7 linked regions of the Rattus norvegicus genome follow. The protein of the gene in region 1 binds, or shares a complex with, the protein of each later gene. Links are inferred from orthologs where the notes say so. Each region holds a gene or a part of one and is shown in the gene's direction. Other genes may lie near its edges. The genes, in order: Taf6, Taf13, Taf5, Taf10, Taf7, Taf11l1 and Taf4.

What was found.
Region 2: Taf6 (region 1) and Taf13 share a complex: the UniProt entries of both Homo sapiens proteins name them as parts of the TFIID basal transcription factor complex. The link is inferred for Rattus norvegicus from reciprocal best matches to the Homo sapiens genes TAF6 and TAF13.
Region 3: Taf6 (region 1) and Taf5 share a complex: the UniProt entries of both Homo sapiens proteins name them as parts of the TFIID basal transcription factor complex. The link is inferred for Rattus norvegicus from reciprocal best matches to the Homo sapiens genes TAF6 and TAF5.
Region 4: Taf6 (region 1) and Taf10 share a complex: the UniProt entries of both Homo sapiens proteins name them as parts of the TFIID basal transcription factor complex. The link is inferred for Rattus norvegicus from reciprocal best matches to the Homo sapiens genes TAF6 and TAF10.
Region 5: Taf6 (region 1) and Taf7 share a complex: the UniProt entries of both Homo sapiens proteins name them as parts of the TFIID basal transcription factor complex. The link is inferred for Rattus norvegicus from reciprocal best matches to the Homo sapiens genes TAF6 and TAF7.
Region 6: Taf6 (region 1) and Taf11l1 share a complex: the UniProt entries of both Homo sapiens proteins name them as parts of the TFIID basal transcription factor complex. The link is inferred for Rattus norvegicus from reciprocal best matches to the Homo sapiens genes TAF6 and TAF11.
Region 7: Taf6 (region 1) and Taf4 share a complex: the UniProt entries of both Homo sapiens proteins name them as parts of the TFIID basal transcription factor complex. The link is inferred for Rattus norvegicus from reciprocal best matches to the Homo sapiens genes TAF6 and TAF4.

What each region holds. Positions count from the first base shown.
Region 1 is NC_086030.1:22,175,139-22,179,228, reverse strand, and holds the start of Taf6 (transcription initiation factor TFIID subunit 6), read left to right. Parts: upstream 1-1,290; 5' UTR 1,291-1,326; exon of another isoform or gene 1,327-1,433; intron 1,434-3,885; 5' UTR 3,886-3,945; coding exon 3,946-4,090. Other genes in the region: Cnpy4 (protein canopy homolog 4), read right to left, coding at 757-892. UniProt on the Homo sapiens protein: The TFIID basal transcription factor complex plays a major role in the initiation of RNA polymerase II (Pol II)-dependent transcription.
Region 2 is NC_086020.1:198,899,832-198,903,331, forward strand, and holds part of Taf13 (transcription initiation factor TFIID subunit 13), read left to right. Parts: intron 1-31; coding exon 32-129; intron 130-3,047; coding exon 3,048-3,218; 3' UTR 3,219-3,500. UniProt on the Homo sapiens protein: The TFIID basal transcription factor complex plays a major role in the initiation of RNA polymerase II (Pol II)-dependent transcription.
Region 3 is NC_086019.1:255,909,774-255,912,766, forward strand, and holds part of Taf5 (transcription initiation factor TFIID subunit 5), read left to right. Parts: intron 1-815; coding exon 816-945; intron 946-2,637; coding exon 2,638-2,802; intron 2,803-2,993. UniProt on the Homo sapiens protein: The TFIID basal transcription factor complex plays a major role in the initiation of RNA polymerase II (Pol II)-dependent transcription.
Region 4 is NC_086019.1:169,506,440-169,509,388, reverse strand, and holds Taf10 (transcription initiation factor TFIID subunit 10), read left to right. Parts: upstream 1-1,180; 5' UTR 1,181-1,195; coding exon 1,196-1,427; intron 1,428-1,532; coding exon 1,533-1,687; intron 1,688-1,851; coding exon 1,852-1,916; intron 1,917-1,999; coding exon 2,000-2,114; coding exon of another isoform or gene 2,115-2,120; exon of another isoform or gene 2,121-2,123; intron 2,124-2,279; coding exon 2,280-2,369; 3' UTR 2,370-2,449; downstream 2,450-2,949. Other genes in the region: Ilk (integrin-linked protein kinase), read right to left, coding at 2,681-2,830. UniProt on the Homo sapiens protein: The TFIID basal transcription factor complex plays a major role in the initiation of RNA polymerase II (Pol II)-dependent transcription.
Region 5 is NC_086036.1:29,710,676-29,714,816, reverse strand, and holds Taf7 (transcription initiation factor TFIID subunit 7), read left to right. Parts: upstream 1-1,492; 5' UTR 1,493-1,727; intron 1,728-2,104; 5' UTR 2,105-2,165; coding exon 2,166-3,191; 3' UTR 3,192-3,641; downstream 3,642-4,141. UniProt on the Homo sapiens protein: The TFIID basal transcription factor complex plays a major role in the initiation of RNA polymerase II (Pol II)-dependent transcription.
Region 6 is NC_086028.1:74,278,259-74,282,319, reverse strand, and holds Taf11l1 (transcription initiation factor TFIID subunit 11-like), read left to right. Parts: upstream 1-1,261; 5' UTR 1,262-2,686; coding exon 2,687-3,310; 3' UTR 3,311-3,759; downstream 3,760-4,061. UniProt on the Homo sapiens protein: The TFIID basal transcription factor complex plays a major role in the initiation of RNA polymerase II (Pol II)-dependent transcription.
Region 7 is NC_086021.1:187,405,543-187,409,042, reverse strand, and holds part of Taf4 (transcription initiation factor TFIID subunit 4), read left to right. Parts: intron 1-1,795; coding exon 1,796-1,965; intron 1,966-2,269; coding exon 2,270-2,400; intron 2,401-3,250; coding exon 3,251-3,376; intron 3,377-3,500. UniProt on the Homo sapiens protein: The TFIID basal transcription factor complex plays a major role in the initiation of RNA polymerase II (Pol II)-dependent transcription.

The sequences.
Region 1 (4,090 bases):
AAAATGAGAGATTAGAATAAAGTCATGGGTAACAATGACAATAATGTTGTTGGGTGTAAAGTGAAACGATAATAAATCCAAAGAAAAAGTTAATGTCAGGGAGCCACAGGATATTTTATTCAGTGACCTGGCTTCCTCCCTGTTGGGAGTAGAGTGGGGAGGGGGGCATTTACTGATGCAGCCAGGGGCTGTGCTGCTTGTTGTAAAATCCCTACAGTGCAACCCATCTGCAAAGTCTCACACTGATGGGCAACTTCTAAGTGGTATGATGGTGTCTCCATCTTTTGTTTATGAGCTTCAGCTGGGGACTTACTCACCTTTAAACCCCTGAAGGGGGTCATCAGGCCTGTAATTTGCGAGCGTCTCTGCCAGGGCGGGGCACAGTACGTCTATAAGGTATGAACCTTACACCCCACCCATGCAAGTTGTCTAGATTTTTAACAAGTAGGGAAACGCACTGAGAAAGATGCTCGGTAGAGCCAGCGTTACAGGTTCGTGAACTACAATTCCCACAATCCATTCAAGCCCAAGCCCGCAAGAAAAACCTAGCTCCTTCTGGATGCCACCTGGGAAATGTAGTGCCACCGTAACACTGCTCTCCTTCCCTCGTTCCCATTCAAGTGTTACCAAGCTCCAACAGAACCTCTTTCAAGACAGTTGAGTGACCCATCTATCCTAGTCCATTTGATTCAGCCTAGAGTTAAAGGCAGGAGCTAGGATAAGGAGATGCAAATAGCAACTGCTCCATTTCTGTACCTTCGCATTTGCTGGGCAAACGTTCTGTATCAGCTTCTTCTTCTTTTGTCATTCCAGTCCAAGCACCGTACGCTGCCAGGATGAAAAGCAGTATTTCCAACCGCACAGGTCCCATGACAAAACGCAGTTCACACATACACACAACCACCTCTTGCCTTCAGACTAACTTCTGAAAGGGAGCGGGCCCTTTAAACTTAGGCGCAGCCGGCAGCAAGCCTTTAAAAAAAAAAAAAACTTACAGGGGACGGTCAGCGCATGCCCAAAGTTAGCCCGAAAGTGGGTGGAGCCTAATGGCTCCAGGCTTCCCGGCCTTACTTTTGTGGCGCCTCCTGAAGGTCCTGGCAGCTGGGTAGTGAAGATACAAATTGAAGAAATTAGAATAGAGTAATGTGATCTTTACATATACACGTAGAATTTAATTTTTAAATAATTCCAGACTGTGAAACGATATGGTCTATTTTGACATAGGGAAGAGCAGTGATAAGTTCTTGGCTTCTGCCAGGACCTACTACTGCCAGGGGGCGGGGCCAAGATGGCGCCGAGCGCCGGGTGAGCGGCGCCTTGGCAGCGGTGAGAAGCTTTTACTGCTCCCGGTGCTTGGCTGGCGGGGGAAGGTCTGAGGTGTACCCGGGAGGAGACCCTTTGAAAGGGCCCATGTGAGGACTGGGAAGAAGACGGTTGGTTGTGTGTCCGTGCTAGTGGGGACCCTGTGCATGATTGCACTGGAAGGATGTTGGGGAGATGTAGTAGATTGTGAACCTCCTGTAGCGCTGCCCGGGGAATCTTCGAATCACTTCCCTGCTGAGGAAAATGATGCACAGATATAGCTCAAGTTATCCGTCCTCTGAGAAGTCTTCCTGTCGTTTCCACTGATCTGAGAAATTCCGGAGGGTGTTAGTGTTTTATGAACCCTTAGTGGCAGGGGACTGGGACCCAACTGCCTCTTGTATACTTGGCACCAGGTTCAGAGTATGTGCTGAATAGTTGTATTTCCTGTAGACAAGATTTAACAAAAGTCTGAGAAAAATTGGGATGGAAAGAACCAGGGTCTTTGGCCTCCACCCCCAACCCCCACCCTGGCACACACACACAAACACACACCCCTTTTCCCCAGCACTCAGCTCTGAACACTCCTGAGGTTGACCTCATGTCCAGTGTCAGGCAAGCTCCTTTCCATTTGACCACAGAGTAAACTCCAAGCTTGGGTCTGTGTCTTTTTCATTTTGGTAATTGTTATACCAAGTATTTAGTGAACACTTACACCTTTAGGACTTAAAATTCATATATTTAATAATGTCCTAGGTACTAGTCAATCTAGGCACCAGATTGGTCAGCGGACATAACAGACATAATCCTGTCTACTGGTGGGGTAAGAATAATAAACAAGAAAAATAATAGCTTGGCGGTAAACAGCTGTAAAAGGCAGGAGGATCTCCAAATCAAGGCCACAGAATGAGTTCCAGACAAGCCTGAGACCCAATTGTAGAAGGGTTGCTTAACATGTGGAAAGCTTAGATTTAATCTAGAGTGATTATATAGAATACATATATATAATATATATCATTTATTATTAGAAGAAATTTTGGCAAACAAGTAAAGCCAGGCATGGTGGTATGTGCTTATAATCCCAGCACTTGGGAGGTGGAGGCCAAAGGACCAGGAGTTAAGACCAGTGTTGTCTACATAGTGAATTTGAAACCAGTCTGGGCTGGGGGCCACCTGCCCCTAAAGAGAGGTGGATGGGGTCAGATAAGGTAGTCAGCCAAACACATTTAGGAAGAACACAACAAAAGTTATAAAGCCAAGTACACTACATACCTGTCAGATTTAAAGGACAGCAAGAAGAATGATGTGTGACAGGTTAAATGGGAAAAGGAGGGATAGGTGATCAGACGTATGAAGGAAAAGAAAGGAAAAGGAAAAACCACTTAGGCAAGACTCAAACTTGCTGTCTGTGCACTTTAGCCTCCAGAGTGCTGGGGTTACAAGTGTACAGATGTAGGGTCTCACTCTGAAGCATGACCTGGTATAAAACTCAAGGCAGTCCACTGAAATCAGAAGGGTTGACCCGCAGAACTGGACAAGAGACAGATCTTGAAGGGAAGGCCTTGGGAGGGTTTTATGTCAAAAGGGGAACCATTATAGGAAAGAAATAGTTATCTGCTTTATATTTTGACACTTAAAACCACTTTGGTTTTAAGGAACAAATGCAAAAAAAAAAAAAAAAAAAAAAGTAAGATAGAAATAGGAACACCTTGTCCAGCAACTGAGTTCAGCAGATAGGCCAAAAAGGGTCTGGTTGGACTGCCTGGTAGGTTTTAATACCATGCTGGGAATCAACCCCAGGTCCATATACATGCTATATCTTCCAGCCCTTACTTGATGGATTTGTTTCAAGCGTCCAGATAAGAATGAGTTGTGCTGGATGTGGTGACACATGCCTATAGTCCCAGCACTTGGGAAGTAGCAGGACCAGGAGTTCAGGGACATTTTCAGCACATATGGAGTAAGAGACCAGCCCGGACTACAAGAGGCCCGAGAGAGAGAGAGACAGAGACAGAGAGAGACAGAGAGAGAACAGGCCTTTAATCCCATCATCCAGGAGGCGGAGGCAGGTGGATCTCTGAATGTGAGACCAGCCTGGTCTATAGAGCAAGTTCCAGGTCAGCTGGGGTTACACAGCCTCAGGGTAGAAGGGTAGGGGACAAACTGGGTCTGGAGATGTAGCTCAGTTTTTAAAGTATTTCCCAGCACCACAAAACTGTCGGGGTACGTCTATAATCCTAGAATTAGGAAGGTAGCAAAAGAATCCAGAGTCAAGACTTACCTTTTATTACATAGTTTAGGGCATGGCTAAAGAAACCTATCCACAAAAGTAAGAGCAAACAAACAAAAAAATTGTCACTGGGCATGTTACTACATGCCTATAATCCTAGTACTTGAAAGGCAGAAGCTGGGGGCTGGAATTAGAAGTGTTATGGCTCCATAGTGAGCCCCTGTGTCTAAAAGAAAAAAGACAGAGCAAGCCGTTTGGTAGCTTTGCTTTGACGGTGAGCTGTAAGTAAGGAGAGAACGCAGATGGAGGCTTTGAACTGTTTTCCTTTTTGTCTTGCCACATCCCACTCTTAGGATCTCCATCTCTCCACCCTGGGGTGACATCCTTCCAGGGACAGGAGCTGGAACTCCAGCATGGCTGAGGAGAAGAAACTGAAACTCAGCAATACCGTGTTGCCCTCCGAGTCTATGAAGGTGGTGGCAGAATCCATGGGCATTGCTCAGATTCAGGAGGAGACTTGCCAGCTACTGACAGATGAGGTCAGCTACCGCATCAAGG
Region 2 (3,500 bases), on another chromosome or scaffold:
TGGGTCACGCAACACTCTTGCTCTCTCACAGTGCGCTGTATGATGTATGGGTTTGGGGATGACCAGAATCCTTATACGGAGTCAGTGGATATTCTCGAAGACCTTGTCATAGAGTTCATCACTGAAATGGTAAGATACTTTGTAACTATCACTTTTTTGTTGTGTTGATTTTTGTAACTGTTAATTGAAGGTTTAAAATGTTAAGCTTTAGATAATGCTAGAATTTTTGAAATAAACTATCTGTTTGAGTGCCTGCTTTGTGCAAGTTCCTGGCTTCTATTTGCCCTTACTATGGATAGTACGTAAATGTATCTCAGAACTTCTGAGCTTTGTTTGTTTTATATTTCACTTGGTGTGTACAGGTGTTTTGCCTACAAGTATGTCCCTGTATGTTATGTGTGTCTGGTGCTCTTGGAGGCCAGAAGAGGGTGTTGGATTCCCTGAAATTGGAGATACAGACAGTTGTGAGCTGCCATGTGGGTGCTGGGCACTGAACTCCAGTTTTCTGGAAGATACCATTGTTCTTAAGCACTAAGATGTTTCTACAGCCCCTGAGTTTTATTTGTAAAAACATAGTATCTTTGAATAAAATTAAAAGTATTGCCCATAATCTCACCCAGCCTAAGTTCTTTCCCTTCCAGTATTTATTTAAAGGTATGTACAGGGGGTTGGGGATTTAGCTCAGTGGTAGAGTGCTTGCTTAGGAAGCGCAAGGCCCTGGGTTCGGTCCCCAGCTCCGAAAAAAAGAACCAAAAAAAAAAAAAAAAAAAAAAAAAGGTATGTACAGCTCATGGAATACCTTTGGGATTTTTAAAAAATTCTATTTCATGTGCATTGGTTTTATCTACATGTATGTTGTGTGAGGATGTCAGATACTTTGGAACTGGAGTTAAAGACAGTTGTGAGCTACCTTGTGGATGCTGGGAACTGAACCTGGGTCCTCTGGAAGAGCAGCCAGTGCTTTTTTTTTTTTTTTTTGGTTCTTTTTTTCGGAGCTGGGGACCGAACCCAGGGCCTTGCGCTTCCTAGGCAAGCGCTCTACCACTGAGCTAAATCCCCAACCCTGAGCAGCCAGTGCTCTTAACATCTGCACCATCTCTCCAGCCCCTGGTCTAACATCTTGAATGACCATTTTTATGGTTTTCTTCTTTTCCTTTGTTTGGATGGATTAGCAGGGGTGAGGTCACTGAGTTTGGTTGGTTTTAGTTCTTATGAGTGTTCACCCTTTACATTGGACCATCTCCTTACTACAGAATAAGTGAAAGGATTACTCAGCCAGGGCTGAGGCTGTTCGGTGTGTGTACAAGGGCCTGCACATGTGGCGAGTATTTAATCCAGTTTACCTCAGCTCAGGGAAAACATTAGCCATAGTAGTGCCAGATTATGCTAATATGCGTGTGCGAGGCCCTGGGCTCAGTCCCCAGCAGCATATTAAATGACAGAGCCTGCCATAGTGGCTCCTACCTGTAATCCCAGAATTCCAGAGAGAGTCAGGAGGATCTACTACAGGATGTAGCAGGTTCTAGGCCATCCAGAGCTACATAACAAGACTAGGATTTCAAACAAACAAATAAAATGAAATAAAGACATCTCTCAAACAAACAAACAGATAAAAACAAACAAAGCAGCCAGGCAGGAGAAGATGTCATTTCGGTGTGCTCGGCATTCAGGAGGCTGTGGTAGGTGGACCCCAGTTTTAAGACCAGGCTAGGTAGGCTAGGTAGTAAGACCCTTTCTCAACAAACAGAAACAAAGCTGAGCATAGTGGTGCATGCTTTTAGTTCTAGAAGTTGTAGCAGAGGCAGGAAGATTGCCTCATTTGAGACCAGCCTAGTTTCTGGATCCTGTCTCTATAAAAAACAGTCAGGAGGGGTTGGGGATTTAGCTCAGTGGTAGAGCGCTTGCCTAGGAAGCGCAAGGCCCTGGGTTCGGTCCCCAGCTCCGAAAAAAAGAACCAAAAAAAAAAAAAAAAAAAAACCAGTCAGGAATCAGAGATAAGTTGGCTTGAGTTCAAGGCTAGGCCAATCTACATAGTAAGTTCTAGTTATATAGTGAGACTCAAAAACATGTCTCAAAAACAAAACAGCAACAAAAATAATGTTATAATTGTGTCTCCAAGTATAGATTTTTTATATAAAAGATTTAAGCATTAGTCTTAGGATCAGTTTTATTATTTAGCCTCCCAAAACCTCCCTTCTTTCCTTCCAGCCTACTAAAGCCTAATTGTTATTTTCCTAATCTCTATTACCTACTCATTAGCCAACCCAGAACACATTTAACAAGACAAAAACTTCACCTATATCATAAAATAAAACAGAAGTATCTTCAAAAGTTGCTAGGTTTTTTTTTTTTTTTCCTTTTTCTTTTTTTTCGGAGCTGGGAACCGAACCCAGGGCCTTGCGCTTCCTAGGCAAGCGCTCTACCACTGAGCTAAATCCCCAACCCCAATTTGCTAGGTTTTGTTGTTGTTTTAGTCTGCCAGTCTGTCTGACCATCCATCTGCCTATCTGTCCATCCATCTATTTTTAAGGCAGGGTCTCGCTATATGTCCCTGGTTAGCTTGGAACTTGCTTTATAGACCAAGGCTTGTCTTGAACTCACAGAGATCTGTCTGTCTCTGCCTCCCAAGTGCTGGAATTAAAAGTGTGTATCACTCTGTCTAGCTCATTTTGGTAGTTTTATTGTCCGTAATGAAAAAAGAAGTCCTGTAATGCAGAAAGAAAATACTGTCGATTATGCAATAGAAAGGCGGTAAGGAGGGCTAGAGAGATGGCTCAGCGGTTAAGAGCACTGTCTGCTCTTCCAGAGGTCCTGAGTTCAATTCCCAGCAACCACATGGTGGCTCACAACCATCTGTAACGAGATCTGATGCCCTCTTCTGGTGTCTGAAGACAGTTACAGTGTACTCACATGCATGAAATAAATAAATTCCTAAGTAAGGAGATGATCAGACAGCTGGTTCACAAATGTAACACTAGCGTGATTAATAGAAAATTAAAACACAAAAATATTTGGCCCTTAAAAATTGATGTGTTTCCTTGTCATAGACTCATAAGGCAATGTCAATTGGAAGACAAGGTCGAGTGCAAGTTGAAGATATTGTCTTCCTAATTCGAAAGGATCCGAGGAAGTTCGCTAGAGTTAAAGACTTACTAACTATGAATGAAGAGTTGAAACGGGCTAGAAAAGCTTTCGACGAAGCCAACTATGGATCTTGACACCGTTTGTGATGCCCGGGATTTTGATATTTTCTGTGGAAACCATACATTGTATTTGTTGTCTGCAGTAATATCGTGATAGCTAGGCATGCAATGACAGAGGCCTTTGATTTTAGATTTGTAACGTGAGCCTTTTGTTGCCTGTCTTTATCTGACCATATTTGAGTTGCTTACTGGCCTTGAATAACTCCTAACTTAAAGTATTGCAAACCATGCAGTTCCACCCGAAAGGGGGAAGTAGTACTTATTCTTCAGGTAGACATGTGCATTCCAAGCTGTGTA
Region 3 (2,993 bases), on another chromosome or scaffold:
TAAAGTTAAAACTGTGATATCTGATGATTATTTGCCTATAACTTTTAAGAAAACCTTAGTGAGGCTGGCAGGGCCTCACTAAACCTTAGTAACTCGGTAGATAAAGGCAAGTGCTTGCCACCAGACATGCAGACTTGAGTTCAGTGTTCACAGCCCACATGGTTGAGGAGAACTGACCCTACATATTGTTCTCTGACATATCCCTGTGTGATGGCATGCATGCTTAAATTCACTTCATACAAGACTGAGGCAGGAGGATCACTAAGTTCAAAGGAGCCTAAGCTACACAGTGAAGACTCTGTCTCAAAAATTAAAACACAGTGCTGAATAGAGGACTCTGGTTGAGAGCACTGCCCATTGCTGCAGAGGACCTGGATGAGATTCCCACCACCAGCCATCACTCTAGTTCCAGGGATCCAACACATGCATGTGGTACATTTTTATCATCCAGGGAAAGCATTGGTACATACAGAAAACAAAAGGCAAAACACAGAACCGAAACCACTCCTAAGGTCAGGATTTTAGATGCTTTTGATAGCTATTTTTCCTAAACAGTTAGGTTTATATTGTTTTAGGATTTGTATAGCTTCCTTTTTATGAAATGTGATGGACAGACTGGTTGTCATACTGAGTAACTGTATGGTCTAGCAGATTAACTGTTTGGAAGATTTCATTTTTTTCTATATGAGGGGACAGATCACTTAATTTAGCATAGTGTTGTTGGTAAAGAGGAAGAAATGTTGAAATGTTAGTTCTGAATTATGAGAGATTGCCTTAAATAATATACCTAAAATACTATTTCTGGACCTTTTTAGATCTTAGTCTTATAGACAAAGAATCAGATGATGTCTTAGAGAGAATCATGGATGAGAAAACTGCAAGTGAGTTGAAGATTTTGTATGGTCACAGTGGGCCTGTCTATGGAGCCAGCTTCAGTCCGGATAGGTAAAATTCAAACACAATTAAATGCTGATGAACAGTGCTGAGATTTCAAACTTAACTGCTGGAGATGAAATGCAAATGCCAAACATTATGGTTGCCTGTAGTTCAGTATCTTTCAGAATTAGAATCTTACCATTTGCTAATATATGTTGGGGACTGGAATATAACATAGCACCTAAGTGTATACTGAATATACAAAAATCAGGATATACATTCATGGCTTCACCAGTTTCAGAATTTAGCTTTATTTTTGAATAACCCTCTGGAAGAGGTTGAATTGTTCGAGTTTGTGGATTATTCTTATGGAACTTCCTAACACTTAAGAGAAATTGCTCATTAAAAGCTATCAATGGAAGCATTTAGGTATTTTAACAGGAAAACAGAAGAAAGCTGGGTGTCATAGTAAGTGCCTGCCATCCCAGCCTCTCTGGAGGCTAAGGCAGGAAGGAGAATTGTGGTTCAAGGTTCACTGGGTATCACAGCCAGACCATGTTTTGAAATAGCATGTGTTTAGGTATTTCTTGATTTTCATTTCTAACTTTCTGCAAAAATGGCTGGGAAAGGGTGGTTTCACCCATATTATCTTGTGTATTCTACTTAGTAGTTTTTGACCACCAGAGTTTTCATTGTACTTGTGAGATCTTGAGAAATAAACAAAACAAAACCAGTACCTAATAGGATTTAGCCAAGTGGTACATTTCACTTGAAGAGAATGATTTCAGTGAAAACTGTTGGCTTTTTTATTTATCCCTGAAAAAGGTGGAACGTTAGTATTCTGCAGGGGAATGGCGTCCTGGTTGAACACAGGGCCTCCAGCACATACTAGGTGTGCACTCTGCTATTGAGCTGTACCCGACTCCTTCTCTCTATTAGATACAGTCCATGCTGACAGCAAATCACATATTCAGAACTGATGCACCTCATTTCTAGACTGTCTGGTAACCGCACTGCTTATTAGCCTCAGTACTAGTTTCTTAGTGTTTTGAACACAGGGTCATCACCTGAGTTCTGAGGTTACACATGCGCTATCACACTATTTTTTTTCTTTTTTCTTTTCTAAAGCACTGTGACCCCTCCCCATAGTCTTGACAGGTTTTTTTGTTTTGGCTTGTTTTTTTTTTTTTTTTTCTTTCATTATTAGCTTTATATAGTTAAGTGTTGAGGATATACTTCGACATGATTTCACTTAACATTAGTTTAATACTTTTAGCTTTTGTTATCTACTGTGAATTCTAAGAATAGAGAGGTGGGGCTGAGATGGCTCAGTGAGGAAAGTGCTTGCCATGTAAGTGTGAAAATCAGATTTTAGATCTCCAGCACCCATATAAATGCTGGCCTGGCGGCCCTCCTGTGATCCCAGTGTTCTAGACCTGGAGCTGGGGTTGCTGACAAGCTCTGGGTACATCTGGGAGATTGATCCAGGGAAGACTCCTAAATATACCCATGCATCCTGCATTCCACACACAGGTGAGGGAGCTGAGGATGTGTAGCTCAGTGGTAGAATGCCTGCCTGCCTGCCGTGTGCAAGGCCTGAGGGTGAGTCCTCAGCACTCTGCGCCCACTCCCAGGAGCATGTGCACGCACACACTAATGTAACATAGGTGCATGTCAGTTGTTAAAATGTGAGGTTGGGAGAAACTTGGACAGGTAACTAGACTGTACTGAGAATCAGTCAGCACCGCCTCTTCTCCTCAGGAACTACCTACTCTCCTCTTCAGAGGATGGAACCGTTAGACTCTGGAGCCTGCAGACTTTCACTTGCTTAGTTGGATATAAAGGGCACAACTACCCAGTGTGGGACACACAGTTTTCTCCATATGGATATTATTTCGTGTCAGGAGGCCATGACCGCGTAGCTCGGTAAGAACACTGATCTAATGGGGTTTACTCACTGGATATAACTGTATCTTGTCAAGAACACAAAGTCCAGCAAGCCGTATTTTCATGCTATTCAGGATTAACTTTTGGAGAAGATAATTCACAGCTGTAACTTGAAAATGTGAGAGGGGAATATTTCTCCCTCCAGGGTCTACACCGAGGGCCCTGCTTCC
Region 4 (2,949 bases), on another chromosome or scaffold:
CTTAATTTTCATTTTTTTTCACCTCCCTACTAACTTCAACAAGTTTTACTGACTACTTCTCCAGATATGTCTTTATCAGCTAGCGTGGTGATGCTCACCTTTAATCCCAGCACTTAGGAGGCAGAGACCAGGCAAGCCTCTCTGAGTCCATCCTGGTCTATACAAAGAGTTCCAGGCATGCCAGGCCTACGTGAGACCATGTCTCGAAAATACACAAACGTGCGTGCACGCGCGCGCGCGCGCGCGCGCACGCACACACACACACACACACACACACACACACACACACTACTGCATTATCTTTGAGCCCATGTCCTTTTTCCTCTAAACTGCAGGAAGTACTTGGGTAGGGGAGAGCCTTCCAAAGCCCCTCAGCATCCTTGACCATGGGTAAGTCATCTTCTAAACCAAACAGTATATTTATTTGTGCAAACCCTTCAAAGATTACTGGGTAAAAGTCAGGGACATTGAAACCTGCCTTCAAAATTGGGAAATAAACATTGCTAATGTCTGACACTTGGAATTAAGCAGCTGATGTTAGTTCCCTACTTCCTTGCACTCCACCTACGTGTATCTGGGAAACAACCATACAGTATTAAAATTGTCTGCCTTCCTTTTCCAGAGCTTGGTGCTAGTGAACTAGAATCTGATTCTTAACTTTGTATTCCTAGGTCCCAACCCTGTAGTTGGCAAATAGAAATTAAATAAATGACTGTTGAATTGCTAATGTGCTTCACATGTGACTTTGGCATGTTATTTCTTCGGGGTGAAACACCTATCTCTACATTTACAGCAGCACGCTTCTAGGACCGTTGTGGGTGGGAGGGACACACACCAAATCCACTAAAATCCTTAAAGACAGTGAAAGGGAGCGACAAAGAATGAAGACTGTTAAGGAGACTGGTAATGAAGTATCTGACATATGAGTCCCCAAGTCAAATCTGCGCACCCAGATGAAATGAAGTGTGCAGTCCTGGATTCTTCGCGGTCCCATCTGGGCAGGGTTGAGCCGCAGGGTGGAGGCTAGGTCTTTCACAGTTTACCTCTGCCAGTCTACACCTAATCTGCCAACAGCCAACCTAAGGTCGCCCGCGGCGGACTAAAGCGGTGGGGCGGGAACTGTGACGTCACGCAACGTGCGCCTGGGCGAGCGGAAGCGGAAGTAGCTCTGGTTGCCGCCTTTCCCACCAGCCCCATGAGCTGCAGCGGCTCCGGCGCGGACCCCGAGGCGGCGCCAGCCTGTGCCGCCTCGGTCGCGGGTCCGGCGCCCCCGGTGTCCGCTCCCGCTGCGCTGCCCACTAGCACGGCCGCGGAGAGCAAAGCCAGCCCCGCGGGGACAGCAGGGGGCCCTGGAGCTGGAGTCGCCACTGCAGGCACGGGCCCCGTGGCGGCACGGGCAGGGGAGCCCGCGGAGCGGCGCGGACCGGGTGAGCTCCGGGCCGGGTGAGGGAGGGGGGAATCTCCGACTGGGTGCCGCAGCGGGGGTTGGGGGGACCCTGCGCTTCTCACCTGTGTTGTTGATTCTCCTTCAGCTTCGGTGGCAGCAGGCGGCGCGGCTCCCCCTGAGGGGGCAATGTCTAACGGGGTTTACGCCCTACCGAGCGCGGCCAACGGAGAAGTGAAGCCCGTAGTGTCCAGCACACCACTAGTGGACTTCTTGATGCAGTTGGAGGATTATACACCTACGGTGGGCTTCCCGCCTGTACAAGGCCACCTGCCTCGCTGTCGTGCCTTTCAACCGCACCTTCATGCTTTCAAGCGTCCTCTACTAGGAAGCTGTCTCTTTATTCTTCCTCCCCACCCAGCGCATCAGTAGGCAGAGCTAATAATGACGGCTATTTGATTTTTCAGATCCCGGATGCAGTGACTGGTTACTACCTGAACCGTGCTGGCTTTGAAGCTTCAGACCCACGCATGTGAGTAAACTCAGAGGTTAGACTGTTGAGTGCTGGGTGGAGTTTGTTAAATATCTCATTACCACCACCCCCTTCCTCTCTAGAATTCGGCTCATCTCACTAGCTGCCCAGAAATTCATCTCAGATATTGCCAATGATGCCCTACAGCACTGCAAAATGAAGGGTACAGCCTCTGGCAGCTCCCGGAGCAAGAGCAAGGTGTGAGAGGTTCGCCTTCCACAGCAGTACAGACTTAACTTATCCTGAAAGCCTTTTGGGGAAGCAGCATCCTAGGGGAGGTATTGGGCCTACTCAGGGTTACCCACAAAGGACTGGAATCTGGACTTGCTGTGCTCAGCTGGTGGTCTTCCCTCTTTCCCCCAGGATCGCAAGTACACCCTAACCATGGAGGACTTGACCCCTGCCCTCAGCGAGTATGGCATCAATGTGAAGAAGCCGCACTACTTCACCTGAGCCACCCAACCCAGATGTATTTGTCTTCCCCTCTGTCCCCACATGAGCCTGTTTTCATAATAAACTTTATTGTGACAGGCGGGGCTGATCCCTCCCATGTTGGGAGACATCAAGTGGCAAGTGACAAAGCTCTGAGCCCAGCCCTCTCTGGGGCTACAGTGGTAGGGATGGGAGCAGGGAACAAGCCCCATAACTGGGGTAGTACCATGATTAGAGACAGGGGAGGCAACCAGAGATCTTCAGCTTCGGGGAAGTGCATTCCCCCAGCCATATGCTGATACTTCTGAAGTTTGGGCAGGGACCTTCAAGTCCTACTTGTCCTGCATCTTCTCCAAGATAGGTACAATCATGTCAAACTTGGGTCGCTTTGCAGGGTCTTCATTCATGCAAATCTTCATGAGCTTACACACGTGGGGGGAAATACCTGGTGGGATAGTAGGCCGAAGGCCTTCCAGTGCCACCTGCAAATTATACAGAACAAGGTGAGCTTCTGAATTTGAGTTCATCATATGGGCAAAAGCCTTTGACCCTTGAATGGTAGGATTACTATAGATCTGTATACACTGCAGGAAGGGCTTAC
Region 5 (4,141 bases), on another chromosome or scaffold:
TGGAAGGAACCACAATCCAGAAATGGAGGGCACACCTGTGATTCAGGTCTTGAGGCTAGAAGACACATGGATATCTTGAGGCATAGTGACTATGAAAAGCTTAGGTCCAGGCAAGGTAGTACACACCTCTAATCCCAGACAAACAGATCTCTGAATTCCAGGCCAGGCTGGGATAAGCCAAGTTCTGGATCCAGGAGTGGTGCTGCACACCTTTAATTTGCGCTATACTTTCTGCAGGAGGCCTATATAAGGACATTGGAAGAAGGAAGACTCACACTTCTTCAATTGCTTGCACTTACTTCTTACTTGCCAGCACATCTGTTGGTACCCACTTCTTCAAGATTCCAGTTTATACAGAAGACTGGGTGAAAGAACTAACCTCGTGGGACTGAGAAACTAGATTCTTGAACTTTCCATTCACAGCTGCCCATTGTTGGGTTAGTTGGGCTACAGACTGTAAATCATTACATTAAAATCCCTTAATGTATACAGACATTCCAGAATTTCTGTGACTCTAGAGAACCCTAACAGTACAGACAGTACCAATGGGCAAAACAAAAACAGACCTAATTATCAAATTTCATAGTTTTGAGAAAGTCTCTAATGTACTAACCTTGTTTTTTGGCTTCTGTAGTTCTGTCTCTGGAAAGTGGTTTTTGTAACAGAAACATGCCAATGTAGAACATTTGTTTGTGCTTAAAAGCTCACCCTGAGAAAGCCTTAGGGCCACACTGGGATCCAGAACACCCAATGTAGTCGCTGGCTAGCTAATACTTTATATTGGCTTAAAACTATGTCCAAGCAGCCTTCTTTGGTGGATACCCAACAACAAAATCAGAACGTTTGTGTTTCAGGCAAGGCAATTCTGTTCTTAATGAACCTGTGTCATCATAAAAACATTTGTATACAGTTATATCTATCAAACATATTACCAAAATAGCGTATCATACATATCACACCTCGTCCTCTGGAGCCAAAAATACTAACGAAGCTAAAGGCTTAGTTCCTCTCAAAGCTAATTAACATGATTATACACAGCGTTATGTGGTAGACAGCAAAACTGTATCATTCCACTGTTTTGGCCACTTTACTTTCACTTTGTGATGCTTCCAAAGCTTTTGGCGGAGGGACCGGGTATGCCCTGGGAAGAAAAGATGCTTTCTGCAGGGACGCCCTTTATCTCTGGCAATCACTCTAGAAACTGTCTTAACCCACGACTTCATAAAAGTGCTGTCTTAGGGGGTGTGCTTATGTTTTACTTTTTGGAATCTTCATCTTTGAATTCCAAGCCAAGGTTTTTCCGGAAACACTAGTTTTAATCCTATACAAGGTAAGTTCTCACGAGAAGTAGTCACGAGACGACGTAATTACGAGAATGCGCCTGCGCGCGCCGCGACGTTACTACTTCCGGAAGAGCGGCAGCCAGCCCCTCCGCGTCTACTTCCGGTCTTTGACGTAGCGCCGCGTCTGCTTCCGCTCACTGCCGTAGCACTTTCTTTCCTTCTTTTCTGCGTGGGAGGAGGCTTGGCAAGGTCCTCTCCGGAGTTCGGATGTTTGAGCGGCAGTGTGGCGAGGTTTCGCGCTGCGGGTCCTGAGCCGTTTCGTTGTTAGCGCTCAGGTCGCCTTGCCGGGCGGCTGAAAGCGCGGACAAACTGGAAGGTAGACGCACCGCTCATCGCTGCTTTACTCAGGCCGAGAAAAGCTGAGTTCATAGTTGCTGGTGAACTGTAAGTACCCGAGCCGAAGAGCTCACGACTTTTATTTAAATCTCTTACTGGAGAGAATCCGTGGATTGGGATTGCCTGCCAGACGGACGGACTGTGCCTAAAATCCCCTCAGGCGCTGCTGTTTTCTTTGGCTGTTCACGTGATGCTGCAGCGGCGTCTAGAGGCCCTAATTTGGTATTGCATCTAGTAGAGGTGTGAGTTTAACAGGGACAATGCCAAAGTGGGATGCATGTTTAGAGATTAGTATTGGGACTTAATTATAAATTAAGACAAAATAGGCAGTAGGTGATGATCCACTTAGTTGCTGTTTTCCTTAGAACTCAGTAACTAAGAGTTTAAGATTATTCTTAACCTTGTCCTTTTTTTAACTGTTGTAGGAGCTGGAACTTGTTAGTGCAGCAGGTGTTTATTGGAGAAGTAATTCACAAGGAAGTGAAGATGAGTAAGAGCAAAGATGATGCACCTCATGAGCTAGAGAGCCAGTTTATCTTACGGTTGCCCCCAGAATATGCCGCTACTGTGAGGAGGGCAGTGCAGTCTGGGCACGTCAACCTGAAAGATAGACTGAGCATTGAGTTACACCCTGATGGGCGTCATGGGATTGTCAGAGTGGATAGAGTGCCCCTGGCTGCAAAATTGGTAGATTTGCCGTGTGTTACGGAGAGCTTGAAAACCATTGATAAAAAAACCTTTTACAAGACAGCTGATATCTCTCAGATGCTTGTAGCCACAGTAGATGGTGATCTATACCCTCCTGTGGAGGAGCCAGCTGCTACTGCTGATCCCAAAGCAAACAAGAAAAAAGATAAGGACAAAGAGAAAAAATTTGTTTGGAACCATGGAATTACTCTACCTCTAAAAAATGTCAGAAAGAGAAGGTTCCGGAAGACAGCAAAGAAGAAGTACATTGAATCTCCAGATGTGGAAAAAGAAGTAAAGCGGCTGCTGAGTACAGATGCAGAAGCTGTCAGTACTCGTTGGGAGATAATTGCTGAAGATGAAACAAAGGAGGCAGAAAATCAAGGCCTTGATATCTCCTCTCCTGGAATGTCTGGCCACAGGCAGGGCCATGACTCACTAGAGCATGATGAGCTTCGAGAGATATTCAATGACCTCAGCAGCAGCAGCGAAGATGAAGAAGATGTAAACATCATTGACACTGAAGAGGATCTGGAGAGACAGCTACAGGACAAGCTAAATGAGTCAGATGAACAACACCAAGAAAATGAAGGAACCAATCAGTTGGTTATGGGGATTCAGAAGCAGATTGATAATATGAAAGGCAAGCTTCAAGAAACCCAAGACAGAGCAAAGCGCCAGGAGGATCTCATCATGAAGGTAGAAAACCTGGCTCTGAAGAACAGGTTTCAAGCTGTTCTGGATGAGCTCAAACAGAAGGAAGACCGGGAAAAGGAGCAGCTTAGCTCTTTGCAAGAAGAGCTGGAATCACTTCTGGAGAAGTGAAAAGGTTGACTTTAGTCCTTAGACTAGTCAGCTTAAGAAGAATTTATTTTCAGAGTGAGGTCTTGAAAAATTCTTCTTTTTTCTTTGAAATATTCTTATTTCCTGTAATGCTAGGAGTTATTGTGTTGATTGTTTTCACTCTTAAGAAAATAGGATTACATAGGCAGATTTGTTGTAGTGTAAGGTTAGTGAAGTGACAACACTGAGCTTTTAATCACTTCACCATAGGACTTTATTACAATTTGTTTCCTAAGTTTCTAGTCCTATTCTTCGGTGCTAAGATCAGTAAGAAGCTAGCTAGCCTACAGGCAATGGAGTGTTTTTTTTTTTTTTTTTTGTTTTTTTTTTAAGAAATATATTTTTTTACCTTCTCAGCAAGTTTCCATGTTACAGAAATGCAAGTTTTTTCATAAAAGTTGTTTTTTGCACAATAAAAGTTACTAATTTTCACTTTGCTTATCTTGTTCTTCAATGAATACTGAAAGTTGAGGTGAGCTCATGGAGTTTAATGGCTGAGTGGTATAGATCAAGATACATGCTGTTGTTTTGCCTTTTTAGAAAAGGAATACACCAGATAAGGAAATGGAGAAATTCATCTTTGCATTATAGATTATGGTTCAGGCCTACCTACACCATCTGGAGGTTTGTGAACACTCGGTCCAGAGCCTTCTTAAACTATCCTACTTTTCATTGAAGGATATCTGTCTATATCTTTTTATTAAACACTAAAGTTATCTATAAAATACTGGAAGCAGTTAAACAGTTATCAGATGAACTATTCCACTTGCTTAGATTAAGATTATATTCTTAACTGTTGCCATTTTAATTGCTATGCTTTTTTAATAGGCATGTTTGTTCATGTTATTTCATTAGTATTTGCCACTATGAAAGCCTGTTACCAGGTCTGGTATTTTAAAATTTCATACATAGAATTTTTCTCTGAGGCATTT
Region 6 (4,061 bases), on another chromosome or scaffold:
CTTTAAGTCTCAAATTTTGTGGATTTCTGACGTTTTTGAAGACCATCCATCTATATAAGACAATCTGGACTGTTGTTTTCATATCTTAATATTTTTTTTTTGGTTCTTTTTTTTCGGAGCTGGGGACCGAACCCAGGGCCTTGCGCTTCCTAGGTAAGCGCTCTACCACTGAGCTAAATCCCCAGCCCCTTCATATCTTAATATTATCTTGAAAGTGCTCTCACAAAGTCAGAGCCATGAATGTGCTATTTGGCCCTTAACTCACATATGTAATCAACTCAGAAGTTTGTATTGACATAATTAGAAGGACTGGCTCTAAACCTTGTACTTTTAAACTTTTTTGACAAATAAATTCTATACCAAAACAAAGATATGATTTTAGCTTAGTTACCAAATGAGATAATGACTCTACAACTCAATCTAGCTAATTCCTCCCTGTTAAATTACAACCATTTCTAAGTTCCTCATAAAAACAACTTTAGAATAACTGCTTTCAGCCCCCCAAAAGTCCAGGGAATTGGGGCGACGACTCCTCCATAACTTCCTCAAGCTGTACATGGGCGTTGAGCTATCCTTGGGGGTAGGAGGCAGGAAGAATGAAGCAAATGCTGAGCAGATGTGTCCTGACTGGACCCAGCCGAAAGTCCTTGAGACCAGGAATCCAAGGAGGCACACAATACAACAATCAAGACAAAATATAACCATAATATATATAACCATAAAACTCAAGGTCACGGGCTGGAGAGATGGCTCAGTGGTTAAGAGCCCCGACTGCTCTTCCAGAGGTCCTGAGTTCAATTCCCAGCAACCAAATGTAGACACCCCATCTCTGACTTCCTCACCAGCGGTGCCTAGGTATCCAGAGAGGAAACTGGGAACCACACCATTCAACCCAGACCCCTCTGTTCCCATTCTAGTTCTGTGGGTAGCAGTGCCTGACATCATCCAGAAGGGAAACATTCACTGTGGACCCCCTGTTCTGGCTTTTGTTATGCCGCTCAGGGCTGGCATGATGGTGGCTGCTAGACACCTCCAGCAGAGGCAGAATGCAGTATGACATCAGAGCAATGTGAGTTCTTTATTTTTTATTTAAAAAGACAGCCAAGAGCTGGAGAGATGGCTCAGTGGTTAAGAGCACTGACTGTTCTTCCTAGCAACCACATGGTGGCTCACAGCCATCTGTAATAGGATTTGATGCCCTCTTCTGGTGTGTCTGAAGATAGCTACACTGTATTCATATACATAAAATAAACACATTAATTTTAAAAAAAGTCAGCCAAATCTTTATTGGGAAATGGGTCCCTAGGAAGTGAGCCTGGGGCCCTCGTTGCACATCTTGTTCCTTAGCACTGTTCCAAGAATTCCTTTTTTTTTTTCTTTCTTTCTTTTTTTCAGAGCTGGGGACCGAATCCAGGGCCTTGCGCTTGCTAGGCAAGCGCTCTACCACTGAGCTAAATCCCCAACCCCTGTTCCAAGAATTCTTTTTTTTTTTGGGGGGGGGGTTCTTTTTTTTTCGGAGCTGGGGACCGAACCCAGGGCCTTGCACTTCCTAGGCAAGCGCTCTACCACTGAGCTAAATCCCCAACCCCCCAAGAATTCTTCATCGCGTCTCGTGTTGTGGAGAACTAGAAAAGGTGTAAATATTGCAGGCCTTCAAAGGCATCGTCTGCTCTGAAAGCCAGGTCCACTGTGACTGAGGGCCTGTGGCTTTGCTACCTGTTTAGTGAACCATGTGCTCGACTCCTTGGCCTCAATGAAGTTGGTGGTCTTCTTGTGCCGGATCATGAGAAACACTTCCATCCCTGTGACTGACTGCTTCTGACTTGATGCACCAGACCTGAGCAGTGTCAACAACAGGCATTAAATATTTTAATTGTGTGCAGTGCAGACCTGGCGCAGACGCGGTCCACGCCCAGCGAAACCGCCCATTCGACAGCTGGGGAAGAACGAAGTGGGCACACTTGTAGGAGCTTCCCGAAGTGCTCGCCTTCCCAAAGATTTGGGAACCTCATGGGACTGGAAATGATCCTCATTGGTCCAGGCACTGTAGAAACAAAAGAAATGTGGGAACGGGATACTAGCTCTGTTCTGACGGGAGGCAGGTAGCCAATAGTTGAAGCATTGAATGAAATCGTTGGATATATTCTATTGGCACTAGAGATGCTTGCGGTACAGAAGAGAAGCCCAAGCAGTTCCCTGGTGGACCCAAGCCGCGGATCTCAGTTCTTTGGAAAATACGAGGTTGAGTCTCTGCCGGAAATTGCTCAGTCCAAGGCAGCAACAAGCAGCCGGACGGAGTTTTCGCCCCGTTCCGGACTTTGCGCTCAAGTTAACGGATTAATTGGCATTACATTTCCAGGAAGGAAGGAAAAAAAGAAGTCTCTCGGTAAACGAATTGTACGCCCTTTCGAACACGCTTCTACCCTAAAGCGGAGGATCTATACTTTTACATTTCTTTCTGGTTAAAACAAAGTCAGTATACAAGAAGACCCTGAGCGATCGAGACTCTGAAAATGACCCCTCCCAGGAGCCGTGGGCGTGACGTCATCGCGGCGCGACCACAAGCAATAAGGACCAGCTCCAAGCCATAAGCCTCAGCTATAATATAAGTCCCGCGGCAAAACTCGCTGACCCTCACTCCTTCGCCCGGCCGCGCTGCCTTCGCCTCTAACCCCCTCCTGTCGCGATGGAAAACCTTGGAGAGTCGCCCACGGACAAAGGCGGGGAGTCAGAGGAGTCGAGGGCTACTCCTGGGAACCCGTTAGCGGCAGACACTGAGGGAATCCCTGAGGAAACCGATAGGGATGGAGACGTGGACTTGAAAGAAGCCGCGGCAGAGGAAAGGGAGACCAAGAGTCAGGATGTCTCAGGTTTGACAGCAGTTGAGAGGGAAGACTCATTTCTTACTCCTGCAGCCAAAAAGCTGAAACTAGAAACCAAAGACAAGAAGGAGAAGAAGCAGAAGGTGGACGAAGATGAGATTCAGAAGATGCAAATCCTGGTCTCTTCTTTTTCTGAAGAGCAGCTGAACCGTTATGAAATGTATCGCCGGTCAGCTTTCCCGAAGGCAGCCATTAAAAGGCTGATCCAGTCCATCACTGGCACCTCTGTGTCTCAGAATGTTGTGATCGCCATGTCTGGCATTTCTAAAGTTTTTGTCGGGGAGGTGGTAGAAGAAGCCCTGGATGTGTGTGAGAAATGGGGAGAAATGCCACCCCTGCAGCCCAAGCACATGAGGGAGGCCGTGCGGAGGTTGAAGTCCAAGGGGCAAATCCCCAGCTCAAAGCACAAGAAAATCACCTTCTTCTAGATCTAACAGAGACTGTTCAAGACTTTCCGTATAGTTGGGCTTCTGTACTGAGGCTTTGTTGGTGGTGAGCCCAGGACACTTGATGCTGACTTTAATGTTTCTGTTACACCTACAAGGCACGTAGTGTGCCTCAGACTTGCCTTCACTCAGTCATAGACTGTCCTCAGGCATGTTGAAGAATTTCACAGACTCTTGGCTATTTTTAAGAAAAAATACACAGGGACTGTTAGTATCTCCTGGAGAGGGAGATGATTTCAGAGAAAAACAAGACAACTACAGTTTCACATTGAAGCCTAAAGTGGCTAAGATTCAGGTTGTTTCGAAACAAACTTTCTCAATAATCTGCTGTGAAGACAGTCACACCATAATTCGATTCTCACCGTTAACATTTCAGGTTGTCCTGTGTATTTTGTGAGGGATTATTAAACTTTTCCAACCTGTGTGGGAAACTTTGTTTTATTTTGTTGCAGACAAAACTTATTGTCCTTCCAATAAAACTTGGATTTTTTTTCCTTGTTTAAAAATACAAAACAAAACTTTTAATTGCCCTGGGGCTGAGTTTCTCTGACCCTGACCCAGAATGGTTGAATTCAATTTGACATGCCCTGTAGGAGGCCCCTTAGGGGGTTAATCTGAATTCATTAGCCTACTACTGGGCTTTGCCACACCTTATGCCTACTGCAGAAGGCTGAGCTTTCTTTTGGATTACTTCTAGAAAAACAACAACAACGAAAAACATTGTGCCTACGAA
Region 7 (3,500 bases), on another chromosome or scaffold:
GGGCTCAGGTTATCTGCTGACTTCACTACAAGGCCTTTCCTACTGGCTCTTGGCCCTGGTAGTGTCAGGACTGCTTGTTCTGCTTGTGTCTGACCACACCTCTGTCAGTGTGAGCTCCTGTTGTGGATGCAGAGGAGTGGCTTGCCTCATGCCCTCTGTGGAAATGGAGAACAGGTCATCTGACTTGGTGCCAACAGAGTGCACCAAGGTAACTACCGTTTATAACACAAATGGCCCGCATCACCCTGCTCACTGTGACTCTTGATGAACAGAACAGCCTTTCTGGACATTACTATGTCTTGAGATTCTTGTGTGCAAACACCAGAGGCCAAATTCTGGCCTTCGCTCTGACTGAGCAGTGGGGGGTGGTTTGAATTTCAGGAGCCTCTTCATCCTCGAAGCTATTGAATGGGGCTGGAGAGAGTTGGGAACTATATTGGCTCTGTAGGGTAAGGAGCAACCAGGCAGATCAGGACAGGTCACCTGAGTGGATCGGGAGAGAGGCTAAGTGTGTATGTACAGCATAAACGCCTGTACTACCCGCTTCTCGGTGCTGTGGCCAGTGTTGATGAGGAAGCTGGAGCTAGGGACGTGGGTAAGCTAGGGTTGGCCGCAGTCTTGGGTCCCAGCTGGGCAGGGAGGAATGCTTAGGAATGCAGTGGAGGCTGGGGCTCCTAATTGGTCTGTGGGAAGAGCCTAGGCACATTCCTGTCACTCATATCTTACCTACTAGAAGCCATTTTCCAGTATAGACCAGGGCTGCCCTTCAGGGGATAGTGGTTAAGAGCAGGGACAAGCAAACGACAGTGTGAGCTGTGCCCACTTCATCACGTCAGGACAGGGCTCAGGTAGTGACATGAGGTGGGCTGGACTCCTTTCTATAGCCCAGGCTGCGCTGGTCATCTGGATGGTCAGCACTTAATCAGATAGGGCAGGATCAAAAGGCTGAGTAGAAGTGAGCTATGATTGACTTGTAAGCAATAGGAAGGTTGCATGTGTGTGTGTTCAAACTTCAGGATGCTTCCACAGTACTGGTTAGCACTGGGTGTCACTCTCAGCACACACACATACAGGCAGCAGGGTGGGACGGGCAGTGCAGTTCAGTGAAGACTTCCAAGGGTCAGGCTTCAAGGAGGACTCTCCTGTCGTCCTACACCAAGGGCGTATGTGTTAAAGACAGGCTGAAGGGTGTTCAGTGAGGGACACTGGAGGGCCTGTTGCTGGATGTAGACCTCCCCAGGGAAGAGGTTGGTCTTGGGACAGTGGCCACATGTGGACAGGTTTTTAGGCTAGTCCATTTTCACAAGGAAACATCTGTCTGGGACTGGCTGGTAGTACTCTGTGCTGGCTCTGAGTGAGTTTTGTGCTCTTCTAACTCCTCTGAAAGCTGCGACTGAGAGAAGAAATTTTCTTCTTTCTTTGAGAAATTTTCAGGTAACATGGAGTCTTCAAAGCAACAGATGGTGTTCTGGGTTTTGTTTTCTTGGGACAGACTGTGGACGGTGGGCACAGAGCTCTCTGTGGACTCAGTTTAGCTGTGACCTCACACAGTTCTTCCTTTGAACACTTCAGTTTTCAAACAAGGCAGCAAGACACTGTCAAACAAAGGACAAGGCCAGTGTAGGAGCCTGGTGTGTTTGTGTAACTGTGTGTGTGTGTGACTGTGTGTGTGTCTGTCTGTTCATCTCAGTGCCCTTCTGCTGCTCCCTGCCCCTTGCAAGATGCCACTGAATTGGAACCACCTGAGTGAGCTGTGATTTCCTAATGCCACAAGAATGTTCCTCTCTTCTCACAGGGATGATGACGACATCAATGATGTTGCGTCAATGGCTGGAGTGAACCTGTCTGAAGAAAGTGCAAGAATATTGGCCACAAACTCTGAGTTGGTGGGGACATTGACCCGATCCTGTAAAGATGACACCTTCCTCCTCCCCGCGCCTTTGCAGAGGAGGATACTAGAAATAGGTACGGCTGCAGCAGGTGACGCCACTGGGACGCCGAGAGTCCCTGTCTGTCTGATGTGTTCCATGACCCTGGCGAGACGCAGTCCGACCTTTCTGCTGTAGCCCCACTGCCTTGTCTTGGGCTCACCCTATACAGACTCCACTGTTGGTTGGCAGGTAGTAGAAGGTGGACAGTGACAGTCTGCTTCCTGCTTAGACTGCCTTTGATTGTACAAAGCAGTAACTAGTGGGTGAGAGAAGCCAGGGCCGTGATAAAGAGAAGCTGGGTAAGTACCATAAAGTGCTTTTTTCTGCATGGCCTGCAGGTAAAAAGCACGGCATCACGGAACTGCATCCAGATGTAGTGAGTTACGTGTCTCATGCCACACAGCAAAGGCTGCAGAATCTTGTAGAAAAGATATCTGAAACGGCTCAGCAGAAAAACTTCTCTTATAAGGTAATGAGGCTATTTTCCTGGGGAGAATGTTCGTGTTCTCACCGCGTGACCTGGGCTGTCTGGAAGCCCTGTTGTCCTGGTTGTTCCTGTGCTCACTGTTAGCCACACACACTACCTGCAGGTGTGCTCAGGTGCTCCTGCGTCGGGAGACGGGGCTGTGAGCGTAGGAGATTACGGAGTCTTGTGCTCTTACTCCATCTAAAGAGCCAGGTCCTGCAGCCTGGCCTATTCGAGCCATAAGCTACAACTACAGGCTGTCCGCCGTGCGTGCGTGCGTGAGAGAGGGAGAGAATGAATGAATGAATGAATGAATGAATGAATGAATGAATGAATGAATGAATATGAAGTGGGTTTTCAGCCAGAATACGTCTTGAGCACTTGCACAGATGAAGGAGTCAGTGTCTGAACATTCAGAGCAGCCCGTGGTAAATTGTCAGCTTTAAAACACTTCGAAAGTTGGACTTGGTGGTGCACACCTTTATTTCTGGTACTCGGGAGGCAGAGGAAGATGGATCTCTGTGAGTTCAAGCCCAGCCTGGTCTAAAATTGTGAGTTCCAGGCTAGTCAGGGCTGGACAGAGGACCCTGTCTCAAAAACAAAAATAGACAGACACTTCTATACAGAAGGACTTAAATATGGCTTCAAAATGCCAAAGTGTATCAAGTTGGGCCTTTCGTGGGTTCCTGGTAACTGGACGAGACTTCCTGTCTTTGTGAGGTCGGGACTGGAGCAGTGGGATGTGAGCAACTGCCACACCATGTCCAGCTGTGCCAGGCACATCCATGCTTGTTGAAGTACCGAATCCACCGCTGACAGTGTCTGTACTAACTTTTTGGGTTTTTTTTGGTAGGATGACGACAGATATGAGCAAGCGAGTGATGTCCGGGCGCAGCTCAAGTTCTTTGAACAGTTGGATCAGATTGAAAAGCAGAGGAAAGATGAGCAGGAGAGGGAGATCTTGATGCGGGCAGCAAAGGCAAGTTAAACCCCATCTGCAGCTCAGGCTCAGCTTGCTGCCCCCTCCTAGCTGCTCACCAGGCACTGGCTTGTGCTCACCGCCATTTCTGGCAAGTGTGGAAAGAAGGGTGTTGTGAGTGAAG